2 linked regions of the Stegostoma tigrinum genome follow. The protein of the gene in region 2 binds, or shares a complex with, the protein of the main gene of each other region. Links are inferred from orthologs where the notes say so. Each region holds a gene or a part of one and is shown on either strand. Other genes may lie near its edges.

What was found. The genes of interacting proteins can lie anywhere in the genome.
Region 1: the proteins of creatine kinase B-type (region 2) and ankyrin repeat and SOCS box protein 9-like are in contact, whole or in part, in a cryo-EM structure (PDB 6V9H), measured with the Homo sapiens proteins. The link is inferred for Stegostoma tigrinum from reciprocal best matches to the Homo sapiens genes CKB and ASB9. Residues at the interface, in NP_001814.2 of Homo sapiens: Asn63, Pro64, Gly65, His66, Pro67, Tyr68, Ile69, Thr71, Arg130, Arg132, His191, Val198, Ser199, Pro200, Leu201, Leu202, Leu226, Trp228, Glu232, Ile238, Met240, Asn286, Arg292, Gly303, Lys304, His305, Glu306, Lys319, Arg320, Gly321; in NP_001026909.1 of Homo sapiens: Leu25, Asn27, Pro28, Leu29, Met30, Gly31, Asp32, Ala33, Val34, Ser35, Asp36, Trp37, Pro39, Glu42, Ile45, His46, Trp60, Ala67, Asp68, His69, Glu75, Ala100, Asp101, Trp102, Val111, Asp133, Leu134, Ser165, His166.

The regions. Positions count from the first base shown.
Region 1 is NC_081365.1:76,134,887-76,142,130, forward strand, and holds the start of ankyrin repeat and SOCS box protein 9-like, read right to left. Parts: upstream 3,018-7,244; 5' UTR 2,865-3,017; intron 2,758-2,864; 5' UTR 2,721-2,757; coding exon 2,639-2,720; intron 1-2,638. UniProt on the Homo sapiens protein: Substrate-recognition component of a cullin-5-RING E3 ubiquitin-protein ligase complex (ECS complex, also named CRL5 complex), which mediates the ubiquitination and subsequent proteasomal degradation of target proteins.
Region 2 is NC_081363.1:40,273,539-40,281,439, forward strand, and holds the start of creatine kinase B-type, read right to left. Parts: upstream 3,025-7,901; 5' UTR 2,904-3,024; intron 1,863-2,903; exon of another isoform or gene 1,860-1,862; 5' UTR 1,849-1,859; coding exon 1,656-1,848; intron 594-1,655; coding exon 439-593; intron 1-438. UniProt on the Homo sapiens protein: Reversibly catalyzes the transfer of phosphate between ATP and various phosphogens (e.g. creatine phosphate).

The DNA.
Region 1 (7,244 bases), on a different chromosome or scaffold from region 2:
AACATCTGTAGACAGAAGTAGCACTCCTCCCTCTGCCAAGATTCTAACACTCTCTGAATTAATGAGGAATATTTTTGAATGAAAAAAGGTTCTGTAAAAGTTAACGGTGCCCTCAAAATATATTCATCTGATGCAGATGAGCAGTCATTTTCCATTGAGAAGTTGATTCTGTGGGATAATTTAGTCATCTTCAAGAACAGGCACAAGATGTTCAGAGAAATTAACTAAACTGGTTATTAGAAATGGATCAGAGATAATGAGAACTGGAGATGCTGGAGAATCCAAGATAACAAAGTGTGAAGCTGGATGAACACAGCAGGCCAAGCAGCATCTCAGGAGCACAAATGCTGGCGTTTCGGGCTGAGACCCTTCATCAGAGAGGGGGAATGGGGAGAGGGTTCTGAAATAAATAGGGAGGCAGGGGGAGGCAGACCGAAGATGGATAGAGGAGAAGATAGGTGGAGAGGAGAGTATAGATGGGGAGAGGATAGGTCAGTCCAGGGAGGACGGACAGGTCAAGGAGGCGGGATGAGGTTGGTAGGTAGGAAATGGAGGTGCGGCTTGAGGTGGGAGGAGGGGATAGGTGACAGGATGTACCTGGTGTGGCTTCCTCTACATTGGGGAAACCAAGCGGAGGCTTGGGGACCGCTTTGCAGAACACCTCCGCTCGCTTCGCAATAAACCACTGCACCTCCCAGTCGCGAACCATTTTAACTCCCCCCTCCCATTCTTTAGACAACACGTCCATCATGGGCCTCCTGCAGTGCCACAATGATGCCACCCGAAGGTTGCAGGAACAGCAACTCATTTTCCGCTTGGGAACCCTGCAGCCCAATGGTATCAATGTGGACTTCACCAGCTTCAAAATCTCCCCCTCCCCCACCACATCCCAAAACCAGCCCAGCTCGTCCCCTTCCCGTACTGCATCACAAAACCAGCCCAGCTCGTCCCCACCTCCCTAACCTGTTCTTCCTCTCACCTAACCCCTCGTCCCACCTCAAGCCGCACCTCCATTAGAAATGGGATTTTTTTTGGAAAGCCTATTTTCTATGGCCTGGGATATCAGAGCTAGTTGCCAGCTTAAGAAAGATGGGAGCAGATGAACACAGCAGCTAAGTATTTTCCCAGAGCTGCTGACGGGTTGAAGATTTCAGATTGCCCAAGTAACCAAACCCTCAACCTCTCCACTCCCCCACAACCAAACTCCTCAAACATGCTCTCTCAAGCAGATGCAAAATAAAATCCCATATTTTAAAGAAGAGTGGGTGAGTCTTTTTGCAGTGCCCTGACCAATAGCTGCACCAATGAGTAAATCTCAATGATGTTTCATTACCTGCAGCACAGGTTGTGAAAAGCTACAAAATAAATACAAGTCAAGACTGCAAGAAATCACCGAATAAGATGACCATGAACGTTTCTGAAGCTTCTGTTGAACCGTACTGGAGGTAATTTTTTTTATCAATGCTCCAATTCTAGACATCAAAATTGCATTTTATACATCTGAGGCAGCAGCTAGAATTAAGAGATTACAAATGAGTAACATTCACTAGTTGAAATCTTATTTAAACCAACTTTATCTTTCCGACAAAATGAACCAAGTTTGGGATCCAAAATGTGAGTGACCACCCCCTAACAACACCATTGCGCTTTTGTAAAAGCAATTGGGCCTCACATCACTGTGCACATTTAAATGGTGACTTTAAACCCAGTTATTCCAAATGCACATTTAACTAGTGATATGAAAAGAAAGAAAAACAACTTGCTTTTATATAGTATATTTTGACCTAAAATCCTGGAATTCTCTCCTTACTGGAAAAACTCTCTTTACCTACACCAAATGGGATCAAGAAGGAAGCTTACAACCACAATCTAGGGCAATTAGAGGAGGGCAATAAACGCTGCTGTGTTGGAATCCATGGAAAGTAGAATGAAATTTGCAGAGCAGGCAGACATTACGCCTTAAACAGCCCTAGCCAGACTGCAGAAATCTTGATTACTTTGAAGAATAACTACACATTCTTCAAACTATTTAGGACTACATTGAAAGTGGAACTGGGACACAAAGGGTGGAGAACTGTAATTCATAGAATGATTTTTTTTTAAAGCCAGTGATAGCCCACATCACATGAACAAATAAAATGTTTCAAACCCGGGACATTCCAAAGTGCTCAACTTCCAAAGTACTTTTAAAGTGCGGTCACTGCTGTAAACATGGCAGCCAAATTATACCTAACAAGCACCCAAAAACAGCATTGATTTGTGATGGAAGAGGGTAAATGTTCGGCTAGCACGTTGGATAATTCTCTAGTTCTTGTTTAAAAATGGTATTTTCAGATAGGCCCTTAGTCCAATGTCTTATCTGAATGATGGGAGTGCAGCACTCCTCTGTTACTGCAGAGGAATGTCAGCCTTGGGTTTTTTTTGCGGTCGTCTCCAAATAGGAACCCCTGACTTACAGACGACAAGAGTTTGACCGGACGATGTTTTCTATCAGAACAGTTGAAACAGGAAGCACATTGTGTTCTTCTTATATGTTAGTGTCTCAAGGACAACTACCATTAAAAGCACAGCATAAAAGCGATCAGAATTGCAACAGACACTCACTTCTCCTTGTTAGTTATAAAGTAATTTGACTTACCACTCATCAGTGGGTTGGAGATATACTCCCCAGACAGACCCCCTCCTGTAACCTCTGGCTGCCTGTTTTCATTGTCAGTCATCCTTCACTAGCAATGTAGCTGCATTTTACAAATATCTCTAGAGAAAGGAGAGCCATAAATTTTACATGTTAAAGTAACAGAACTGTCTGGAAATGGCAGAAGGATTTAAGCTCCAAGTCTATAAAGTACTTGACGCTACATTACCTGAACAAAGACAGTAACAGCTGTTGCTGTACTGGTGAAGTGAATTCTCAACAACCCTGAACACTGGCAATACACATGATGAAACTTCCTGTGTCGGAGCCAATCAATGGAAAAGCTCAGCAGTAGTGAAATTTGCACAGCAGGCAAACGTAACACCTAAAACATTTAATGAATCAGGCGACAGGATAGAAAACCCGACTGCTTTAAAGAGTAACTGCACCCTTCAAATTATTTAAGACTGCACAGCAGGTAGAACTGGGACATATACAGATAGGGTGTCCTATACTTTACAGAGTTTTTTTTTAAGGTGATAGTCCCACAGCAAGATGACCACTTCTTATGGAATAAAGCACAGAACATTTTGATAAAGTGAGCACAGTGAGTGAGTGCAGCTGACTGTGAGAATGGGCCCGAGAGTGCAGTGGGATTAGTCAGTTCTTACAGCCAGTAACAGCAAAGGATGGGGGAGCAGGGGTGAAGTCAAAATCAATTAGAACTTGCAACTTTATCTTGATGAATCACAATATCATTACCTATCTGCTTGCCCTCTCATTCACCAGCAGTCATTCTTACATAATTCAGCTTGAAGATAGGATCAGTCTCCCACAAGCTGTAGAGGTATGGGGCAAAAGGCCTATTTTGCCAAAGGACTCAGGGTAATGCCAAAGGACAATTCCTTAAAATACAGTTGGCCACCTTGCGTCAAGCGTTTGACTCCAGGGCACCACTCAAAGAACAAAGAAAATTACAGCACAGGAACAGGCCCTTCGGCCCTCCAAGCCTAGGCAGATCAAGGTCCTCTGTCTAAACCTGTCATCTATTTTCTAAGGGTCTGTATCCCTTTGCTCCCTGCCCATCCATGTACCTGTCCAGATACGTCTTAAAAGACACTATCGTGTGTGTCTACCACCTCTGCTGGCAACGCATTCCAGGCACCCACCACCCCCTGCGTAAAGAACCTTCCACACATCTCCCATGAACTTTCCTCCTCTCACTTTGAACTCGTGACCCCTAGTAATTGAGTCCCCCACTCTGGAAAAAAGCTTTTGCTATCCACCTTGTCTATACCCCTCAATTTTGTAGACCTCAATCAGGTTCCCCCCTCAATCTCCATCTTTCTAATTAAAATAATAGCTAGTGCCCTCCATACCAGGCAACAGCCTGGTGAACCACCTCTGCAACCTCTCCAAAGCATCCACATCCTTTTGGTAATGTGACAACTCACCTCCGATATTTCTGGTACAATATTCTTGTGCTTCTTGTACCCTTGGTGCTTAATCCATCTGACATTATATCAGCCTTAGTCTGCCTGGAGATGGATAGGAGCCACGAGCGAGCAATGAGCATGGGAGGTGGTGCTGGAGTGGAGACTCAATGGATTCAGTAAAATGTTATTCATGAAGAAAGAAATAGAAAGTGGCGAAAGACACATATTGGTCCATCTTCTATTATATTCTTCAAAACAGAAGTCTGGTACAACTGGTTATGTCCATTTTCCAGTATCACCGATCTTGTACAGTTATTTTCCCCCAGGTAAGGTGGATTGTTGGGTCAGGGCTGGTGGTCAAGTGAATGAAGGAATAAAAGACCAGCACAGTGTGAGGATACTGCGTGTAGGAGTTGTAGGATGGAAGCTTGGACAGAGCAACAACAGTGCAGGACACAGGGTTGGTGACTGTGTGTGCGCGCAAGTACACGGGGGAGGGTGGGGGTAGGTAGTTAGGCCACACACTCAAAACAGGATCTGAAGGTCAGGTCTCATTCAGCTATCTGTTCTGATTCATCCCTCTTTCTTGGCTTTACCACATTGCCTGCACACCCAGCCCAGTTACCAGCACTATCCCACAGACTGCACATACAGACATGGAAGAGGGAAGCAGGAGCATAGGCGGACATTCAACACTTCACCACCATTCAATATGGACATGGCTGACCATAAAGATCAGAACTCTCAACACCACCTCCTCCACTCCGCAGCACCACCCCCCACCCCTGCACCATATCACTCTAGCCACAAAACCTATGTTTACTTCCTTCTTGAAAACTCAAAGTTTTGGACTCAACCACATTCTGTGATGAATTCCACAGGCTTACCACTCTCTGGGTGAAGAAATTTCACCTTACTTCAGTCCTAAAAGGTTTACCCCTTACCCTAAAAGTATAACCCCTGATTCTGGACAATTCTACCATCAGGAACATCCCTTTCTGTATCGAACCCATCTAATCCTGTTAGTCTCAAAATGTCTCCTCAGAGCTGTTCATTCAGAGGTACTGGTTACATGGCAAAGGTTCAACTCGCAATCCACAAACAAGTTAGAATGTGACAGGTTAGAAATTTACTACAGCACAGATATTTCAGAGAATTCAAGCAGAACTTGAAACAAAAACAAATGATTAATCCCAGATCCAAAGATAGCAGCACTGGCTGTGCTTGGCAGCAGCAAGAGGGAGGAACTGAGTGGCTAAAAATGGCTGGGACAAGGAATTTAAGTTTCTTGTAATTCTATTGTGGAAATGATCCTCCCAAGCCTGAAGAGGAAGCTGCCAGCCTCTGCAGACTTGAACTCTCTGCCTCACTGTCATGCCTGATGTCTTCCTCCTCCAGAAATGACCAATGGGCTGCAAGTCCCAAGCTGCAGCCCACTGACACTGAGCCTTTACTCTGACCCACCTCTCTGGCTAATTTTTGCCTAGATTTAAGTAAGATCCTGCTGTTAAGATTGCTGGGTCTCCAAATCCTTGGCCTTTGCCTCTTGGTCTAGAATCTAGATGGTGCTCTAACTCCACAGTGCCACTGGTTTTTCCAGGAAATTGACTCAAAGTATCTCTGACTTTATCCTGCCATTGTAACCCACAGCCTGTTGTTTCACCCAGTTCTGCCCTTTCAGCTGGGGGCTGCTGCTGTTTGAGTTTCCCTTTCCAAATCAGTTACTGTATTTCAACCGCTGTGTTCACATGGCAATATGTTCAGACGTACTTAGGAATGTTATATTCCATTAATTAAAATAGAGGTTTTTGGGAGATTTGTACCTAATTGATATCCATACTTCATGTAAATTACCAGAAGCAGACCCATTTTGATGCGCGCCTCTTGTTCTACCGTGCAAGACAGGTGTAGAGGTTAGGTACATATTGCAAACTGAAACTAACCTACAAACTGTAGTTGCTATTAATGGGAAAGTGAGGGTAAAATGCAAACTTATACAAGCAGGGCTGGCAGAACCAAGCAGCAAGTTCAGTGAGCTCTATTAAAGGTAGCCCCCTAACGTAACTGGTATAATTTACTTTTCAACATCAAAACCTCACTGATTGCAGGCAATCATAATGCTACAGCTCAAAGATTTTAATTCTGAAAATCATATTCCTTTGTGTCTATGCCATCCTATTATATTTAAGAATTTAACTATATTTGAATGAACAGACTGCATACCTCCCTTTGACGTCCTCATTGCAATACTGTCATATTGGAATGCAACAACAGTGAGTTATTATATGCCTGAAGGGGACCATTAGAAGGTAAATATAGATTGCATTCAACATCTGAGAGGAAAGGGAGTCACAAAATTTATTAATCACAGATCAACAGAAAAAAACTCAACAGATGCATAATTTATTTCCCCACAATAGGTTTCACTGGAGTAATATAGGACTTACTTTCTAAAGAAGTGCATTATACACTCCTATTACATCTCTCTCTGCCTGTCTAATATTGCCAATTTCAGAACAGTTACAGGGATGAATGAGTTTTTGAACAAAAACAGTGGATTTAATATCAGCACAAGGCAGGTTTGGAAGGTGTTTAATACCTTAAACGTTTGCACAGTTACAGTCAGAGGCATCATGCCCAATCATGCAGTCACTGGGGTCAAAACTTTACATAGAGTTCTATACAGTTCTCAAACCAGCTACTCAGCATAGTGCTGTGGATGTTTATAAGGAGAATATTAGTTGTCCACCTTGCCTGTAGCAACTGTTCTCAAGCAACTCAAAACTAATCCTACTGTCCAATTCATTCCACAACACTGGATCTTCATCCAATTCAAATATTGAAACAATTTACCTCAGAAGATGCAATTTCTATCTCACTATGCCCTTTGGCAAAACATTCAATCTTTCAACAATCCTCTGTGCAAAAATATTTCACTTAATCTTTCTCCACTCTCTCAGTGACTATTTTAACATAAATCAAAGAGTACTCCAAGTAGAGTATTCCTCCGAGAGTTGGTGTGGACTTATATAGGGCTTAATGGCGTGTTTCCACACAGTAGGAATTGCTGGAGAAAATCATGCAGATCTGAGTATCTGTGGAGAGACAGAGTTAATACTTCAGGTACAGTGACCCAGAGGTTTCTCCAGTAGTCTCTCTTTTTCTAAGAATTT
Region 2 (7,901 bases):
AGTTCCATTAAAGGCATCATAGGAAGCTATATAAAAAATAAACTCTCCAAGCAGAGATTCTAGATGTTAAAAATGTGGTGTCAAAACAGAAATCAGTAGGTTCTACAGTTTGCACAACATTAAATAATGTTAGCAAATGCTCTGGCAAAAAACATTAACCTTGTAGTACTACCAGTATAATGCCAGTCAAAAATCCTTCCAGCAGCAGTTTTACATCTCATTTACTTTTCACGTAAAAATAAAGACACAATCCATTGAATTCCCTCCTTGATGGTATTGTGGATCAACCCACAGCAGGTGGGCAGCTGCAGTTCAAGGCGGCAGCTCACCAACACCTCCAAGCCCTAAGGGCTTGGCAATAAGTCACTGGCTGGCCAGCCAGCAAGGCCCACATCCCATAAGTGAATTTTTAAAGAATTCCATATAGAGACTCCTCACCTTGAGATTCTCATGGTTAAGATCAGTTTTATGCTTATCAGTAGGTTTGTAGCCACCATGACGGTCCTGAATGACTGGATCAAAGAGGTCCTTAAAAACCATATAGGATTCTTCGTCACCAGCAACACAACCTACTGTCATAATATATGGATGACCTGTACAGGGAAAAAAGAGAAAAGCACTCTTTCATTGGATATAACAATTGGTAATTAAATCTGGCAGAGTTAGAATTTTAACTAGAAGGCAAGGAGAGCAGAAAAGAATAATTTAAAAAAGGTACTGAGCAACAGAAATATGTCACTGATGAACGGTCTAGGCCCGAAACGACAGCTTTGGTGCTCCTCAGGTGCTGCTTGGCCTGCTGTGTTCATCCAGCTTCACACTGTTATCTCAAATATGCTGCTTACAGCATTTTTGATTGAAAATTTTTGTTCCCAATATTAGAATTGGATCGCAATACTGACAATTGAAGGGTTCCAAATATCTGCTTACTTCAAGTGAGTTGAGAGAGAGGGTACAGAACCCAGCAAAACGGTCACTTAATGATTCACAAGGACACGTCTCACGTTCCTTTGACAATCGGGAGTTTACTGCGGGGAGGCGGAAAAGTCAGCCGGGCCACTAAAACACTACAGTTTAACGCGATTAGAGAAGGAACTCGACACACTCATCCAGCCGACTGGAAGGTTTTACAGGGGTTATCAATCCCTGTACATCATCCAAAGTAAAGCCACCTGGAGTGGCCTTGTTTTTGGAGTTTCTTGCACAGCACTTGGACCATGTGCTTTTCGCGTTTGCTCAGATCAGGGGGACTCTCCTGGCCATAATCTCTTGAGTTTCAACACTGGAGGTGCGGGGGAAGTCACACCCAGATGGAAGTGAAAAATCAAACATAAATAGGACGGATCACATCCCAGACACCATCTACCATTCGTCTACAGCAGGTCGCTGCCGCGCTTGGTGTAATGCAAACCGATCCAATCCATCGAGGCTCACAGCCTAGAGGCTAGGGAAAAACAAAATCAGAGCACTTTAAATTTAAAGTGGAAATACCATGTAATAAATGATCCGTTTAATGATGATGGACATGACAGGCTGTATTGACAGCTGATCAGGATCGGGATTAGTTTACATTTTCCAACTGATTTCGTACAGCCTTTGGAAAGCAACACTCCTGTACAGAGAAAAGCAGATAGCTCGTTACAGTGCGGTTTTACCTGGGTTGTCAACCCCAGTCTGAATGGCATCGTCAAGGGTAAATCCGCTGGAGGTTTGCTTATCTCTCAGCTTGCTGTACGTCTCCAGGGTCAGGATTTTAGCCATGTGGTTATTGTGTTGGCTCAAATCCGGGAATTCTTCTTTCGCGGAATGCTTCATCTTCAGAAGGTTGTGGCTGTTGCTGAATGGCATAGTAACCGCTTCTGCTGCGGACGCAAACCAGAGTTTTGGAAATCGCATTAAAAATACGAATTTCTAATAATCAGACTTTGAATAGTTTCCGTCCAGCTCTTTAAAAATACGACTGAGACCCATTTGCGGCTTTTTTAAAAATCACGCCATTCAGCAAGAACGCTGGTTTCTAAACCGTGAATTCGAGAACACGAGTTATTCGAAATTTGCAGTGTGCTTGAAGCAAATGGTGTAAATAAACTTCTGAGCGATAATAGCAAAGTCTCTAGCATCTTTCAGACACATCTTACGTTTCGAGGTCTCGATTACCGTTATCAAGGTTACTAAAAACGATTTCGTGATTTTATTTGAAGAGATGGATTTTTGACATTGAGATTAATACTTTTGCCCTTCCGACATTGTCTTGTACTTCTATATCGCTGAAAAGACACTATTGGATTCTCAAATAACCTTCCAATTACGTAAATTCCTCGTCCTTCGTGACCCTTTCCCGTTGTATTGTATGCAACATTTGAGGACAATTCAAGTACAGCAGCTATTTAAGTGTTAAAGTCCAGATGTCACAGATTAAAACCAATGGATTAGCCCAAATGCCATTCTTGATCCTTTCCAAGCTTGCTGGAATCTATCTTAAATGCACAAAATTAGATTTGAATGTGTTTTCAATATTAGAAGCATTTTACTCCCTAGGAAACTTTCATTAACATAAAGACAATCTATGAACTAATTTAAAAATTCCTTCAATACTGCTTTACTAATCAGTCAATGCACGGAAGAATGCTCGGAGCAAACATACATCCAAATGAATTATTTTGGAGGCAGGGAATGAGGAATACTTCATTAAACTAAAACATGCAACCACAGCTGACGCTTTCGTTTCATAGCAAAATAATTTTAATTCATCTTTTCGAATACTTTGCAATTTATACGAAGACAGTTACACTGATGCATTTTTGCTAGAGATGCATTCAGATTAAATACTAAACGGCTTTGTAACAAAACGATGCAAATTATTGGATAGCGTTTAAATTGTTTTTTTCTTTAAATAACCTTACCTGAATGACGAGAATTTTAAGAAGCCGATTTAATTCTCAGCCTGCTCTTCCCTCCTCAGCCTATCTCCACGTTACCCTGATTGGTGTCCGAGCGCCCCGCACGTCCCCATTGAATTATATAGCGCGGCGAGGCTGCGCTGCTATTGGCTGCTACTTTTAACCCCGTTCACACCATGAACTGTCAATCAAAGGGGATTTCTGCGCATCATCACCGCGCGCCCAAGGGCATGTGCTGTGACCTCATCAGCGTGCGTCGCGTTTGCCTGGGCACCGTTCGTGGCGTGGGGGCTGGTGAGTTTTTGCATTCTGTTGTCACGTGTTGTCAAATAATTTCTTCAAGACAGAAGCGTTAAAAGTAAAACCTGCAAGGTTATGCCGAGGTGTTCGTTAGGATTGGTGGCGTTCAGAGGTTATGCGTGTACCTATGTGTAGGAGGACCCTGTTAAAGCAGGTGGTGTTGCTAGTGTATCGTTACCAACACCAGGTCGTAGTTTTGCATTATATACTGAATTCAGTTTAGTTTAAGTCTGGGCACCCATGAGGCGACTTCTGGACCACAAACAGTAGAATTGTAATCAAGAACGACCTGCAAATTCATTGCACTGTATATCTCTCAACCGACCTTGTCACCAAGCCAGAGAATTGACCAGCTGAGAACATAAGCAGCATCATGTCTTCCTTAGAATGAGTCAATGACACTCTGATCAAGCGTGTCCTACGTGTATGCTAAATTGCAGAAGTGTGATGGACAGAGCAAAATACTCCACATTTTCTTTGTTAAAACCTTAAATCCCACAATCAATGGATCAGGGCAAAACTGGTAGGTCCTGGTAGGTTTAATTATATATGAGGAATATTAAAGCAGTCAGTAGAGGAGATTCTACAAAAGTCACCATCCTCACTGATTGGAACCTAGTATGTCCGTGCAAATGAAGCTAAAGCATTTCAACTATCTTTAGCCAGAAGTCTTAACAGGGTGGTGCATCTTGGTCTTTCCTGAGGTCCCAAGCAGCAGATACTTTTTTTTAGGGAAGACAATCTATCATCCTTAGCCATACTGGCCTACATGTGCCTCTCGACCCACAGCAATATGGTCAATTCCTAACTGCCACCTGAAGGCTTAGAAAGTCGCTCGATTCAAGGGATATTGATATGACTAACAAATCCTGATCTCGTCAATGATGCTCTTATGAAATAATGAAAAAGAAAATGGATATAAGTATGGGCAGTCACAGCAACTTGGTGTTAGTACTAAAGATGTCATCCAGAATCACCCATGCATGTTGCCAAGATGTTTCAGTATAACTACAACATTGGCATTACCTGCCCTCCAAGTCATACATTATTTTGTCTTCTCTTGAAAAACAAGTCTAATCCAATCTGGCCAATTACCACTCGATCAGTAAATACTCAATCCAAAGCAATGTCAGGAATGACATAATTGTTTGTGCTTTTAAATGGCACTTAACTCTGCAATCAGAGATAGTAAGAACTGCTTAATCAGTTTGTTAGTACTCCATTTGAGTTCCACTAGCGTTATGAACTTCTGACATATTAACAACCTTGATCTGACCATGCTTAATCAAGTTGAAATCAAGAGGAGAGGTGAGAGTACTGATCCTGAATCAAGATAGTATTTTGGATGTAGATTCAAGGACCATTAGCAAAGGTTAAATCAATGAGAGTCTTGAATAATTCTCCATTGGTTGGAATCATAACTGGCATTTAGGAAATCGGTTGTAGTTGTTGGAGACAGTTGATCGGAAATTCAGAACAACAGCTTCTCAGTAGTTTCCGAGGCCTGACCATTTTCAATGTTTTTCTTCTTCATAGTGTCAGAATTGGGGATATTACCTAATTGCACAATAACCTGTACCCTTTTCAACTCCTTATACTGAAGCTGTTTGTGCCAGTTTAGGCTGATAAGTGACATTTGTGTCACTCAAGTCCCAGGAAGTTAGTATTTCTAACAGGGGAAGATCTATCCATCTTTCCTTCACATTTCAATTCTATTACAATTACTAAATTTCGTATTATCAACATCCTCAGGATTACCATTGACTAGACTGAACCGGCTATTCAAATACATAAGCTCCAAGATCAAAACAGATGTTGGATGTTTTGCAGTGAGGAATTAACCTGCAGACTCCCCACTGCACATCTACATTTATGAGATGCATCAGAAGTGTGATGGAATCCTCTTCATTTGCCTGAGGATAGCTCAAATGATATTCAAGAAACTGAATGCCATTCAGGACAAAGCCCACTTGATAGGCACCTGACCCACCACCATAAGCGTTCCCTCCCTCTGCCACCCGCAGCGTTTTAGCAGTGACGTATCCTTTACAAAATACACTGCAACAGCCTTCGACAGGGATAGGGAACCTGCAGCCTTCTGCCTGTTTGTCCACCAATACTACATCCACCTTTTTAAATCTGTGTATTACTTCAAAATTTTTTACTGGTAATCCTGTCACATCAAAAACTAAAAGAACATTAAAGGGAGAGAACAGTATTCAATGAAGAATGGGAATTGTAGTCTGTGAAAGATTAAATGATGTATTTGCTCTGCGATGCCATAATTGTAACAGTAAAGCAATACAATGCAAAGCAGCATGATGCAACTCATGAGGACCACAAATATGCTAAACTGGAAGGGGAACCCTAAAAGTCTGCACTTACGAAAATGAAAGATCAAAAGCAGCAGCAAGTATTTCAGACAATGTCAGGACAATGGACTGACTTCATTGAAGCGATTTATAAAATAGTATATATACTTGGAAGAAGAGGTAAGCTATTTAGCAATGTGGAAATCAATAAAGAATGCATTGTTGAAGTTGTCGGATGTTTAGATTCGGATAAGCTTAATAAGTAAAGACAACTACGTCTCAATTGGGACTATAACTGATCAGCAACATGAATTAGCCCTCCACATAACAGAACAACTTCATATGCCAAAGTGAGGACATTTATTATTTGATTGCCATGGATAAACCCACTGACATTACTGACTTAGCGCAGGTGTTAGGTTTTATTTGTGTTATTACTGTGGATTTTCATTGCCCTGAGGAGTTACTGGCTTTGGGTACCCTTAAAGTGAGGACACATGGAATTGACATCTTTACTGTTTTCAAAGAAAAATGCCATGAAGCAAAACTGAATTTATGAAGTGTATGCACAGAAGGTGCACCTTCCAGGAGAGGAAAACATGAAGGATTTATTGCATTACTTCAAAAAGAATTACCAGATCCAGATACTTTGATTTCCTTTCATTGTCTTTTGCATCAACAGAATCTCTATGCCAAATCTGAAGTTTTAGGTGTCACACAAAATAAAGTTATAGGTACTGTAAACTACATTCGAGCAAATGGATCCAGTGTCACCAGTTTCATAACATAATTCATCTTGATGGTGAAACATTCAGTGTGGATCTGCCAAATCATTCTAAAAGTGCACTGGTTGTCACAAAGACAAATACTCAAAACTTTTACATTTGCAAAAACAAGTTACGATTTATTTTGAAGAACTAAATGAACTGTGTGAATTGTCAAAAAGGGATTTCTGCAGAAATGCTGCATATTTGTGTGACATAATATCAAAGCAAAATGATCTGGTTTTTTTTTGCAAAATAATACTAAATCTATATATAATATGTGACAAAAAATCCAGGCGTTTTGGAAAAAGCTGACCTTTTTCAATACGCTCCCTACTTGACCAGAACTTTCAGCTGAACACTTTGCTGAGTGGCAAAGGTAATTAATGAACAAAGTACATGTAAATCATTAAGGAAATGTGACGTGAAAGAATGCACAGCTGTTCTAGACTCCTCCCTGATTGAAGAATACGGTGAAAGGTTCGCAGATTTTGAGAAACATGGTCTTACACTGAAACTAGCTTTTCAACCATGCCTGGTTGCTGTCTCCAAAGCACCTGATGACTTACAGATGGAATTGATTGAGTGCTCAGAAGATAATATTCTGAAGTCTCTTTGACATTAAGAAGAATCCCATTGAAAAATGGAAAAATGCCATTGAATACCCACGTCTACGTCAATGCCCTCAGCAAATGCTGTCTTGTTTTGGCACAACCTACTGTTGTGATACACACTTTCATATGTGACTCAAGTTAAAATGTCCTTTGAGATCACAGATGATAGATATTCACCTGGAGGACCAATTAAAGCTACGTCAACCATGTTGGAACCAAATATCTGATTCCTGTGTCACAATAAACAAATCAAAAATGTCTGTAAATAGTTTGTTGTCCACATTTTTTACTTATTATTAGTTCTGTTGTCAACTTTGCCAAACAAATAAATGCGTCTTTGAGATTTTATTTTGTTTAAAGCCCTCCTATAATAGCAGGCTTTAATTTAAAGTGAGTAAATATATTGACAAAAATATGATGTTTTGTTGTACATATTAAATTCTCAGCATGCGGCTGAATAGCATCTCTGTTAAATAAAATGTGGCCTAACCCTGGCCTATGACTTCTATCGCCTGTAGAAGTCAAGGCAGCAGACATGTGGGAAGCCACTTAATTTTAGCTACATTTGAAGCAGACTGTCCATCAGTTTAGAACTTATGATAAACTCTGAATTTGATCTGATCTTGCAAATTTATGTGCTTCTCAAAGAAGTGCTGTAGAATAGAATTCTTTGGCTTGGTGTCAGGTAGCGCCTCGTCAGACAGCCAAAAGCAGAATAATGTTGCCTGTACTTTGGAATCTAAACCACAAAGTGTCCTTGTGCTTTCTTTGAGTGGGGAAGTCATTTTCTTTAGTAATTAGGTGGCAAATTAAGGTAGTTTGTTTTGAGAAACTGCTTAGGCTAACTGAGCTTAAGAACCTTGCCAAACAGTTAACTGTACAGTTGAGTCAGATTTGTTCTTGGAGGTGAATAGTTTACAAATTCAGGGGATGTATGACCCAGCTCCCAATGATTTTTACACCATAACCACTTCAGTAACGATACACTTCAGCAATGACACTCTTAAGCTC